Caenorhabditis elegans: one gene and its partner. The protein of the gene in region 2 purifies or fractionates together with the protein of the main gene of each other region. This does not show direct contact. Each region holds a gene or a part of one and is shown on either strand. Other genes may lie near its edges. The genes, in order: nfyb-1 and nfyc-1.

The links.
Region 1: the proteins of nfyc-1 (region 2) and nfyb-1 purify together in Caenorhabditis elegans (affinity purification with western blotting, with the first as the bait; one study listed by BioGRID). This does not show direct contact.

Annotation. Positions count from the first base shown.
Region 1 is NC_003280.10:460,705-469,252, forward strand, and holds nfyb-1 (Nuclear transcription factor Y subunit nfyb-1), read right to left. Parts: upstream 6,662-8,548; 5' UTR 6,633-6,661; coding exon 6,428-6,632; intron 6,202-6,427; exon of another isoform or gene 6,145-6,201; intron 5,850-6,144; coding exon 5,688-5,849; intron 5,540-5,687; coding exon 5,339-5,539; intron 3,867-5,338; coding exon 3,748-3,866; intron 3,474-3,747; coding exon 3,317-3,473; intron 2,677-3,316; coding exon 2,600-2,676; intron 1,970-2,599; coding exon 1,870-1,969; intron 1,500-1,869; coding exon 1,309-1,499; 3' UTR 963-1,308; downstream 1-962. Other genes in the region: W10D9.3 (MKRN2 opposite strand protein-like C-terminal domain-containing protein), read right to left, coding at 53-55; tomm-22 (Mitochondrial import receptor subunit TOM22 homolog), read right to left, coding at 7,806-7,976.
Region 2 is NC_003280.10:41,688-45,801, forward strand, and holds nfyc-1 (Nuclear transcription factor Y subunit nfyc-1), read left to right. Parts: upstream 1-2,219; 5' UTR 2,220-2,257; coding exon 2,258-2,290; intron 2,291-2,346; coding exon 2,347-2,436; intron 2,437-2,487; coding exon 2,488-2,748; intron 2,749-2,793; coding exon 2,794-3,037; intron 3,038-3,091; coding exon 3,092-3,162; 3' UTR 3,163-3,230; downstream 3,231-4,114. Other genes in the region: F23F1.10 (Reverse transcriptase domain-containing protein), read right to left, coding at 157-291; rpt-4 (putative 26S proteasome regulatory subunit 10B), read right to left, coding at 676-794, 846-1,573, 1,623-1,975; rpoa-49 (RNA polymerase I associated factor, A49-like protein), read left to right, coding at 3,358-3,492, 3,542-3,691. UniProt on the Caenorhabditis elegans protein: Component of sequence-specific heterotrimeric transcription factor (nfya-1-NF-Y and nfya-2-NF-Y) complexes which specifically recognize a 5'-CCAAT-3' box motif found in the promoters of its target genes to regulate their expression and control cellular identity in particular tissue types.

The DNA of each region.
Region 1 (8,548 bases), 420 kb from region 2:
AAGATTTTCAAATCGAATTTTCAAAAATTTTCAATACGATTTTCGAACTCACCATCCTATTTTACCCCGTCACATCAATTTTCAGCTTGAAATTCACCAATGTCGTGAAATCAAGTGTTTTGGGGGACTGTAGTCGGTGTTTGCGTACTCTTGGTGCTACAGTAACCCAAAATTTCTCATTTTTGAGTTGAAAACCAGGGAAACCGGGGATAAGGGCCAATTTAAGGTGCTGAATTTGAATTTCACATTAAACATTTCAAAATTACAAGTTTTTTGCCAAAAAAAATTTTGTCTGAAAATCTCAAAATTTAAGATTTTCAAATCGAATTTTCAAAAATTTTCAATACGATTTTCGTACTCAGCACTTTATTTTACCCCGTCAAATCAGTTTTTAGCCCAAAATTCGCCAATGTCGTAAAATCTGGCGTTTTGGGGTACTGTAGTCGGTGTTTGCGCACTTTTGGGATTACAGTACCCCAAATTTTTAAAATTTCGAGCTAGAAGCCGGAAGAAACGGACTATAGGGTTACTTTTAACGCTGAATTCGAATTTCACATTGAAAATTCAAACTTACAAGTTTGGCGCCTCAAAAAAAAATTTCTCTGAAAATCTCAAAATTTCAGATTTTCAAATAAAAATTTTCAGAAATTTTTAATACGATTTTAGAATTCAGCACCCCATTTTACTCCGTCAAATCAATTTTCAGCTCAAAATTCGCAAGTGTCGTAAAATCAGGCGTTTTGGGGTACTGTAGTCAGTGTTTGCGTACTCCTGGAGCTACAGTACCCCAATTTTCTTAAAATTAGAGCTGGAAGCCGGGAGAAAAAGGAAATAGGGGTAATTTGAGGCGCTGAATTCGAATTTCGCATTGAAAATTTGAAATTCAATGGGAAAAGTGTGGAAAAATTGAAAAATCGATTTGAAACGAATTTTTTTGGTGGTTAAGTGAAAACTGAGGCATTGGGGTATAATTGAATTTATTTTTTTGCAATAAATTAGAGATATAAATAAATAAATGAATAAATATTTCAAAAATAATTACAATTGTATATGTTAAGTTGTCAAGGAAATGGATACGATGGAGATCAATGAAAAATGGAAAATTTTGGAAAATTGAATTTTTGCAAAAATTGCAGTTTTCAGATTCAGTTTTGAGGGAAAATGAGAAAAAATCCAATAAAAAATTCGGTAAAAATGGTGATTTTCAGTGCAAAATTTTAAAAATTCCTCAAAAAGTTGGGATTTCAGGGTGAAAAAATGCGAAAAATACAATAAAAATCGAGAAATTATCATTTTTTGCAATTTTCTCTACTTTTTCCTCTTCGTCGGCGTTCGTTTCGGCTGAACTCGGGTGGCTGCGGGTCTCGGCGCGATTGGAACGGGTACTGTATCCTCCTCTACTTGATCTACTTCTTCTTCTTCTTCATATTCCACGTCATCGTGTTGTTCCACGTGGCTGACGTGGTGGTGCTGCTGGGCATAGGAAGACGGATTTTGACCTGAAAATCGGGAAAATTGACTGAAAATGTGCAAAAATTTCATTTTTCTGAAAAAAACATATGCAAAATAGGTAAAAATAGGCCAAAAATGCCTAAAATCACTTTTTTTAAAAGAAAAATTGGCTGAAAATCAGTTTTTTCGATTAAAAAAGACTAAAAATTAGCTGAAAATACATGAAAACACTTATTTAATCGGAAAATTCATTTTATAAAACTGGAAAATTGGGGTTAAAATGCTTCAAAATCACTTTTTTCCCGATTAAAATGGCTCAAAAATGCTAAAAACTTGATTTTTTCCCATTAAAACCAGTAAAATCTCCATTTTTCAGCATTTTTGAACAGAAAATCACTAAAAAATGCAATATTTTACCGATTTTCCGCATAACTGAGCTACTTGACACTGGCTGAGGCTCTTCTTGTCCCATTCCGTGGGGTATTGCTCGTCCATCTGGCATATTCATAACGAATTGCTGAAAAAATATTAAATTTCGAACAAAAAAAATTTTTTAATCAAAATTTCTGAAATTTTCAATACGATTTTCGAATTCAGCACTCCAATTTTACCCCGGGAAATCAATTTTCAGCTCAACATTCGCAAATTTCGTAAAATCTGGTGTTTTGGGGTACTGTAGTCGGTATTTGCGTACTCTTGGGGCTACAGTAACCCAAAATATTCAAACTTTGAGCTAGAAGCACGGGGAAAAGGAAAATGAAGGTAATTTTTGGCGCTGAATTCGAATTTCGCATTAAAATTTCAAAATTACAAGGTTTTTGCCCAAAAAAAAATTTGTCTGAAAATTTCAAAATTTCCGATTTTCAAATCAAATTTTCTGAAATTTTAAATACGATTTTTGAATTCAGCACTCCAATTTACCCCGTCAAATCAATTTTCAGCTCGAAATTCGCCAATGCCGTAAAATCTGGTGCTTTGGGTTACAGTAGTCGGTGTTTGCGTACTCTTGGGGCTACAGTAACCCGAAATATTCAAAATGTTGAGCTAGAAGACGGGGAAACAGGGTTCTGGGGGTAAATTGAGGCGCTGAATTCGAATTTCGCACTAAAAATCTGAAATTCGCTGTGAAAAGTGCTGGAAATCGTACATTTGGCCCAGAAACATTTTCCAATTGCAGTGGGGTGTCCTGGATGATCAGAGGGTAGAGTTCCATGCCATTCGGAGCTGAAATTTGCTTTTCCGGAATTATTTAAAAACATTTTCTTAGATATTTGACAGAAAATCGAGAAAATTCACAATTGTTTTCAGAAAAATCGAGAAAATGTCAATTTTCACAAATTTTAATATAAAAATCGGGAAAATATCGATTTTCTCGGATTTTTCAGGTAGAAAATCAAATTAAAACCAATTTTTTCGAGTTTTTATGCTAAAAATCAAAAAAAATTTGAATTTTCTAGTTTTCTGCTGTAAAAATCAAATCTGGACCAATTTTTTCTAATCTTTACGGCAAACATAGGGAATTTTCAGTAAAATCCACAAAAGTTGACGAAATTTCGATTTTTTCTGAAGTTTTCACCAAAAAAAAAATCGATTTTCCTAGATTTTTTCCGTTCAAAATCGGTTTTAAACCATTTTTTCCAATTTTTGAGCTGGAAATCAAGAAAATTTCAATTTTCTGTTTTTTTTGTGCTGTAAAAATCTAATTTTTCTAATTTTTAAGGAAAAAAATGAGAAATTTTCTGGAAACGCCACAAAATCGGCGAAACTTCGATTTTTCCGGAATTTTCACAAAAAAAAATCGATTTTTCTCAATTTTTCCAATTTTCACGCTGGAAAATTCAGAATTTCATAAAAAATTCCGTACTTTCTTTCGCTGCAAAATGTTGTTTCGTCTTTGGATCCACATAAATCTGCATTTGGCCTTGTTGCTCCAAGGCGATGGCTCCAAGTGAATCTTGCTCAATAATTTCCTCGTGTTCTTCAATTTCTACTTCTTCCATCGGCATCGGCTCCATTGGCTCCTGAAAAATCGAATTTTTTGAGTTAAAAAATCAATTTTTGAGTTAAAAAATCAATTTTTGAGTTAAAAATTCAATTTTTGAGTTAAAAATTCAATTTTTGAATTAAAAATTCAATTTTTGAGTTAAAAATTCAATTTTTGAATTAAAAATTCAATTTTTGAATTAAAAATTCAATTTTTGAGTTAAAAAAATCAATTTTTGAGTTAAAAATTCAGGTTTTTAGTGGAAAAATCCATTTTTCCACAGTTTTCCATCCAGAAAATCCAATTTTCACCTCCATATAATATCCATCTGCGCGGGTATTCAATGTACCAGTTTGCTCATTCCATTCTTCTCCCAATGGAGCATTTTTCACAATTTCACTGCCATTTATCACGTATTGAGTCTCGGTACCTGGAAAATTGCAATTTTTTTCATCATTTTCCTAGAAAAATTGAAAATTTGGGCATAGCTTCCGCATCTCCGGTGACAAATGTGCTCTATTGCACAAATTGTTGGTTGGAATACGGTATTTATTGCATGTTTCAGCCGAGAATACCGATATTCCAGCCATCAATTTGGATAGAAGGACATGAGTCACAGAAATTTATTTTTGTAGAGAAACTACAGTAATCCTTATAGGAGTTATATGGCATTTTCAGAGCAAGTTTCGGTATTTTTCCGAAAAAAAGTCGCTTGAAACTACTATGCAAAGCTGCTGAGTTTCGCGAAAAATTCAAAATTTTGGGAAAAAAACGGTGAGAATTGCAATTTTTCCATATAAATCTTAAAAATGCATTATTAGTTTTTTTTTAACTATAGTATCCTTGAAAGTCATAGAACAAGTTGCAAGATTCGTAGAAAACTCGAAAAAATCATATATTTAACGCTAAAAATTCAAAATTAAGAATTTGTGCAACTTTCAGCAAAAAATTTAGAATTTTGACAAATTTTTAAAGGAAAATCATCATTCTCAGTGCTTCAAGCTCTGAAAAAAATTTTTAGGAATTTTTCCAGAGAAAACCATTTTTGTTCAGGTTTTTACTATTCTTCCCATTAATTTTTCAAAGCTTGAAGCACTGAGAATGATAATTTTCATTAAAAATGTGTCAAAACTCTAAATTTTTTGCTGAAAAATACTCAGAAGCCGAAATTAAAAGCCAAAAATTCTGAATTTTAAGTTTTTAGCGTTAAAATTATGATTTTTTCGAGTTTTCTGCGAATCTTGTAATTTTTTCTATGACTTCAAAGGATACTGTAGTTGAAAAAAACTGAAAAATGAATTTTTGAGATTTATGTGGAAAAAATGCAATTTTCACCGTTTTTTTACTATTATTTCGGCTTCTGAATATTTTTCAGCAAAAAATTCAGAGTTTTGACAATTTTTTTAAATGAAAAATCATCATTCTCAGTACTTCAATCTTTGAAAAAAAAACAATTCTTAGTCTAAATTTCAAGTTTCCGGTTTTTTCTATTTTTTCCATAAATTTAGTCTATTTTCTGTGAAATTTCTAGTTTTTTATTATTTTTTCCATAAATTTAGTCTATTTTCTGTGAAATTTCTAGTTTTTTATTATTTTTTCCATAAATTTAGTCTATTTTCTGTCAAATTTCGTTTTTTCTATTTTTTTCCATAAATTTAGTCTATTTTCTGTCAAATTTCTAGTTTTTTACTATTTTTTCCATAAATTTAGTCTATTTTCTGTCAAATTTCGTTTTTTCTATTTTTTTCCACTAATTTAGTCTATTTTCTGTGAAATTTCTAGTTTTTTACTATTTTTTCCATAAATTTAATCCATTTCCAGTCAAATTTCCAGTTTTTTTTTCTATTTTTCCATCAATTTAATCTATTTTCAGGCAAAATTTTCCGATTTTCACACACGAACATCTGCGTCCTTGCTCCGTATCGAAGAATAATGGCCGAACAAAAGGATCCATTTGAAATTGTGGAGGCCGTACGTAGTCTGGGTGTGTTCTGTGAATTGGTCCAGTGATCTTGTGAGCCTGACGGTACTTTTGAAGGAAAATTCGCATTGGCTCCGCGTAATTGTCGAATCCTGTGGCTTCCATCGCGGTGAGCAGGTCGTCTGGAAATTTTTTTATATTGAAAATTGCGGTTTTTAGGGTTTTTTGGGCTTTTGGGCTGTTTTTGAGTTTTTAAAAAGGTTTTCCATGCGAAAATTGTAGTTTTTGGACGATTTGCGGGTAATTTTAGACGGAGTTTCCCGGTTTTACCTGCAGTAATAGTCTTCCGCTTCGTAATATTGCATATTTCAGCGGCTTCCGAAGCGATAAAGCTTATAAACTCTGAAACACACTCTTGAGCACACTCCTTTGCGTCTTTTGCCAATTTCGCCTGCGGATCCATTTGAGTTTTCATGATTCGGACCACGTTAGCTGAAAAAATTGGGATTTTTGGAGAATTTTCAACGATTTTTGTTTTAAAAAAATTGAAAAATCTCGAGCTTGATGCCTTTTTGCAGAGAAACTTTCAATTCTTGAAAAAAAAATTACAAAAAAAATCGATTTTTGTCGAAAATTTATGTTTTTGAAAAAAAAATTGTAAAAAATTGGTCTGCTAGACTACAAACTACAATATTCGATTTAGCAGACCATTGTTGTTCTGAACAAAATTGGTCTGCTAGACTACAAACTACAAGTTTAGATTTAGCAGACCAATAGATATTGAAGAAGTTTGGTCTGCTAGACTACAAACTACAAAATTCGATTTAGCAGACCAAAGTGATTTTGAACAAAATTGGTCTGCTAGACTACAAACTACAATTTTCGATTTAGCAGACCCATGTGATATTTTTTCATTTTAAAGGGCAATTTTAGAAAAAATGGCGGTTTTTATCGGAAATTTATGAATTTTTTCACTTTTCAGTCTAGATTTTTCAAGAAATTTCAATTTTTCGTGTAAAATTCCGGGAATTTATCGATTTTCATCAAAATTTCCGCATGTTTTCCCATACCAATTGGCAAAAATCGTTCCTGATCAAGTAAAACTTGACTTTTATTCGGATGATGAAGCTCCATTGCTATTTCACTAATTGTTCGTGTATCCTCTTCTATATTATGAATTCCATTCATATCATCTTCTGTTATTTCTTCTTCTTCAGGCATTCCATGATCATGATCCTCCAGTAACATTCCTTCGTTTATGGGTTTTGGATCCATTTTGGGAGCTTTTAGACGGTGGACACGGGCTGAAAATTGCGAAAATTTGAAGAAAATAAGGTGAAAACAAGGAAAAATAGCAAAAATTCGGGGTTTTCAGCGATTTTCCGAGCTGAAAATGCTAAATTTTTAATTTTTTAGATTAAAAAACAGGAAAAATCAAGTTTCAAGACCATTTTTCAAGCTTTTCGAAGTGAAAACTCGTAATTTCTTCTTAAAAATCACATTGGTCTGCTAAATCGAAATTTGTAGTTTGTAGTCTAGCAGACCAAAAATTTTCAGAATTAAATTTTTTTAAAGCAATTTTTCAGCGAGAAATTGAACATTTTTCGAATAAAAATTAGAAAAATTGAAGTTTTTGGGACTTTTAGTGCAAAAATTGACGATTTTTGTGTTTTTAAGCATTTTTAAAGCTTAAAATTCGATGTCTCATATATTTTTGCCTGAAAAAAAGTGAAAAACTACAAGAAAAAAAGATAAAAATACGCATTTTGGATGAAATAACCCGAATACAGTGCTGCAAAAAATTTAGATAATGGAAATGAGCTGAAAATTGCGAAAATTTGAAGAAAATTGGGTGAAAACGAAGAAAATAGGCGAAATTCGGGGTTTTCAGCGATTTTCTGGGATAAAAATGATAAATTTTGTTTTTTTTCAATAAAAAAGCGAAAAAATCAAGTTTTAAGGCTATTTTTCAAGCTTTTTAGACTGAAAACTCTTCGTTTTTTCTTCTAAATCGGGTCTGCTAAATCGAAATTTGTAGTTTGTAGCCTAGCAGACCCAAAATTTGAATTTTTGCCAGGGAAAAAATTTTTCAGCGAAAAATTGAAGATTTTTCGAACAGAAATTATAAAAATTCAATTTTATGCGACTTTCAGCGCGAAAATTTGCAATTTTTGTGTTTTTTAAGGCTTTTTAAAGCTTAAAATTCGGATTTTTACCTGGAAAAAGTGAAAAACGTCAAAAAAATCGATAAAAATACAAGTTTTGGATGAAAAAACCGGGATATTGTGCTAGAAAAATCCTTGAAAAATGTTAGAAAATCAACAATTTATATGATAATGAATTCTATCGCAAAAAAAGCTATCAGAAGACGAAAAACAGGGGAAAATCTAGGAAAAGATCAATTTCAGACGGTTTTAAGGGGGATTTTCGGCGAGAAAATCAAGTTTTTCAAGCAGTTTTGGCTTGTTGAATGGCCGCAGATGGTCCGAGAAGCATTTGACGTTGCTGAGCCACTTGAGTCTTTTCCAAATCACTTCGTTCCTTTTCGATAATGTATGGAAGGAAGGCGATCAATGACGTTGTAGATACAACCCAAATTGTGCTTTTTGTAAGGGAAAACTGAAAGAAAATTGAGTTTTTTTGGAGTTTTCAGTGTGAAATATGAGTTTTTACTGTCAAATTGAGATTTTTTTACAAAAATCGATAATTTTTAGTTTTTAGAGCAGAAATTCGGGAAAACTGAAAGAAAACATATTCTTTTTTAGAGTTTTCAGTGTAAAATAAGCAAATTTTTAATTTTTTCTCTATTAAAAATTGTCAAATTGTTGATTTTCCGAGTGTTTTATAGCAAAAATCAATAATTTTTGGTTTTTAGAGGAATAAATAAGATTTTTTTGAGTTTTCAAATAAAAAAGGCCGAATTTTTACTTTTTTTCAGTTTAAAATTGTCAAATTGTTGATTTTCTAGATGTTATACTGCAAAAATCGATAATTTTTAGTTTTTAGAGCAGAAATTCGGGAAAACTGAAAGAAAATTGAATCTTTTTTAGAGTTTTCAGTGTAAAATAGGCAAATTTTCAACTTTTTCTCGGTTCAAAATTGCCAAATTATTGATTTTCCGGTTTTTTAATGCAAAAATCGATAATTTTTATAATTTAGAACAGAAATTAGAGGAAAACTGAAAGAAAATT
Region 2 (4,114 bases):
AAAAGATTTTCTGGAATGTTTTTGTGTGAATTGAAACTCTCGAATGACGCAAATAGCCGATCTAATTATATTATTAACGAGCCAGACATTTTGTGTTTGAATGGGGTAGTGGCATTTCCGAGTATAAATCTCATTCCAGAATATATCAGCTCAAACCTTTTCTTTTTCCAGCTCAACTCTAACTGCTTCTTGTTCCTCCTGGGATATGCTCACTGATTTCAGGTCCTCCAGTTCTGTATACTTGATGGATCCGATACGAGCGATTGCAGATTTTATACTGGTGCTCGCCATTGCTCTGAAACGAAAATTTAATTGAAAAGCTTCATTTTCTATTTTCTTTGAAAAAAATCGAACAATTTTCGACCTTTTGTGGGTTTTATTCAGGATAAATTGAGAATCTTTACACGAAAAGTGCCTTTGTGCCAAATAAAATTGAATTTTTTTTTTGAAAGTCTGGAGAATCGAAAAATTACTATAATATTTCGCGATTTTTTTTACGAGGCTCGTCATTATTTGGGTCTACAAATATTATTTATCGAGAAATCTACTCCATGTCAAGAACCAGCCAAAAATAATTTATGATTCGGATCTTCTTTTTTTACACGGAAACATTGAAAACGGGATAATGGTTAAAAGATGCAAACGGGAAAGGTCCAATAAATACGAAAAAATCAATTAGACAGGTTTATAGTCGAGCTTCGTCTCAAGTCTCTTCGCGTCTCCAACCTTGCGAACAGCTTTCATAAAGTCCTCGTCGATAACGAATTCACGCTCAGCACGGATGGCAAACATTCCTGAAACAAAAATGATAATTTGAATGCAATTTTTATGATTCAACTCCTCACCAGCTTCTGTGCACACATTTCTTAAATCAGCAGCCGAGAATCCGTCGGACAACTTGACAACAGCTTCAAAATCTATTTCGCCGTGTTTGGTGATCTTGTTCGAGTGAATCTTGAGAATTTCCAAGCGAGATTGTTCGTTTGGCAGTCCGATTTCAATCTTTCTATCAAGTCTTCCAGGACGAAGAAGAGCAGGATCCAATGTATCAGGACGATTCGTGGCCATAATAACCTTGACTTTTCCAAGCGAATCGAATCCATCGAGCTGATTGAGAAGTTCCATAAGAGTTCTCTGAATTTCACGATCTGCTGATGTTCCTTCTGAGAAACGTCTTCCACCGATCGCATCAATTTCATCCATGAAGACAATGCATGGCTGATGGTCACGAGCATAATTGAACATTTCTCGAATCATTCTTGCAGACTCTCCGATATATTTATCAACAATAGCAGACGAGACAACTTTCAGGAAATTGCAATCCAGTTGCGATGCTACAGCACGAGCAAGGAGAGTTTTTCCTGTTCCCGGTGGACCAAAAAGCAGACATCCTTTCGGGGGAGTGATACCAACACGTTTAAAGAGTTCGGGATTGATGAGTGGGAGCTCCACAACTTCACGAAGCTCGCGAATCTGCTCAGCGAGTCCTCCGACATCTGAATAGCTAATGTTACCAGGATCTTCGTGAGACATTTTGTAGACTAGCGGATCAACTTCACGTGGCAGCTGACGCCTGAAACATTTCGGTTTAAGACTTTTTGTTTAAAAAACTAAAAGCTTACATGATAGTAAGAGTTGTCATATCCAACGAAACTCTTGTCCCTTGCTTCAACTCTTCCTTGTTAATACTGCGACGGCATCCGACAACATAACGAGGACCATTGGTTGCCTTGACGATGAATTTCTCTTCACTGAGCTGCTTGAGCACTTCTCCTACAATTTGTCCAACAGATTGCAACGACTTGATATCGTTCTCGGATTTGTCAAATTGTTTGGTCATCTCGCTTTCTTTTTTTCGCAAGTCCTTCAACTTCTGTTCAATGTCACGGCACTCTGCCAATTTTCTTCTATAGCTGTTGAGCGCCTTAGTGCGTTCATCCTCTACGATGGCGGGACCAGTTGGTTCAACCATGTTCTGGAATTCAGAAAATATCTAGTTTTGAATGAAAACATTTTTTAATCTGTATAAGATGTAAAAATCTGAAAAAACGAGGTTCTCATGAGGAAAGAACGTCAGAAATGAAAATCAGAATTGAAATTGTCATCGTGTCCAACAGAGCGCAGTTGATCGAGTCCGCAATCTTCCGCCTCGGTGTACGTGCACACAATGCACAATATTTCACGACAGAAGAATAGTGTTGTTTTAATTTATTTTTTTCTAATTAGTTTAAAGTTAATTTTTCTTGCATCTGCCGTGATGTCGCAATTCCCAGAAGTTTTAGACAATAATGTAAGTAATACAATTTAAAATTTTCGACTTCCCAGCAAATGTTTCATTTATTTCAGCTTTTACACGCCGAAAACAACGAAACTGCCGAATACATACAAAATGATGGGACAAATCAATCAGAAGTGTTCATGGAACATCCCTACACGGTGAATAAAATCAACTCGTTTTAAAAACTTATTTATTTTATTTCATTTTAGCCGAACATGCATCCAATAAATATGCCTTCTATTGTAGAAGGTGCGGTTCATCCTTATAATAATTTAATCCATCACAATGATGCGATACCACCGGCAAAGTACGCCTCGATGAGACAAATGACAGAAGATTTCTGGCGTGAAAAAAAACAGAAAATGACTGAGATTTCTGAAGAGGATATGCTGAACAAGTCGAAAAACATGAGCGTTCCCATGGCTAGAGTGAAAAAGATTATGCGAATAGACGACGATGTTCGCAACTTTGTGAGTAGTGTCATTTTCCAGCCGATCTTCATACACTTTTTACAGATGATCGCGTCTGATGCTCCGATATTTATGGCTCAAGCAGCCGAGTTTTTCATTGAAGAAATGACCGCAATGGGCTGGCAATACGTGTCAGAAGCAAGGCGACGAATTCTTCAAAAAGCCGACATAGCAAGCGCAGTGCAAAAAAGTGATCAGTTCGATTTTCTCATCGACTTTCTACCTCCGAAAACGGTGCCAACAACTTCCACAAACGGCCCAGGCCATATGAGTGAAGACAGTTTCCAAGGTTTTCGGTTTTTTTCCTAAATATGATTTTTGTGCAATTTTTAACCTTTTATAGATCCCAACATGCATTCCGACTTTCACCAGAGAACTTCAAATTCTTCAGTCAACCGATCTCACCACAATTGATCTTTATAATAATATTTTCTTGCTTATATTATGTATTAAAATTAAGTTCGTGGCGCCTGGCGCCCTTTAAAAGCTTGAATTTATACCTTTTTTGTCTAAAAATACTGTGTTTCATATGCACATTCATATATTTTCTTATTTCTTTGTTTTTCATTTTACAGGCTTTTACTTTGAAATCTTTAAATTTGAGGCGAAATGTGGTTGTCAAGTGAGGAGCTGAGTGCGAAGAAGACGGCTTGCCACGTGAGAAATGTGGAATCCAACAAAGAATTTGCAGATTCTGATATCGTTGCCTCATTCGTGCACAATCGGCCAAAAGATTTGAAAAACGTTTGTTCTAAAGCACCTTCTTTCAAATGAAAATAAAAATCCATTTTAGCTGACATTCGAAAGACACGGAAAAGGAGGACGTAAAAAAGCGCCAATATTCAGCGTAAAAGGAGATATTAGCGAGCATGTTGTAGAAGTTGGGGCAGATGTTAATTGTCTTGATGAGGGATTCGATTTTGCTGTTGCTTTGGTTGATAAGGTAATTTTGAGTGTATTTTAGCTAACAAATTCACTCTTTCAAAGGCTGAGTACCGAAACCTGAAAAATATTTTGGTACTAGTTCTAAATCACCCCGCCACTTTTTTTCTTTTTTTTCAAATAAAAACGTGTGGAGTTTTTGTATTTTTAGGCTTAGGAAATAGCCATTTCTAAGCCTAAAGATGGAAAATGGACATCACGTTTTATTAAAATGAATAATATTAAAATGAGGGGAAATAATACACAAATAAAAAAAGTGGCGGGGTGATTTAGGACTAGTACCAATATTTTTTAATGACTCCAAATTTTCCCCTGATTCCGAAAATCTATCAAAAAAAAATTTCACTGACTTTGGATTTCAGCTTGAAATCCCCGAATTTCATTTGTGAACCCTTGAGATTTTTCAAACGCTCCAAAAATTTTT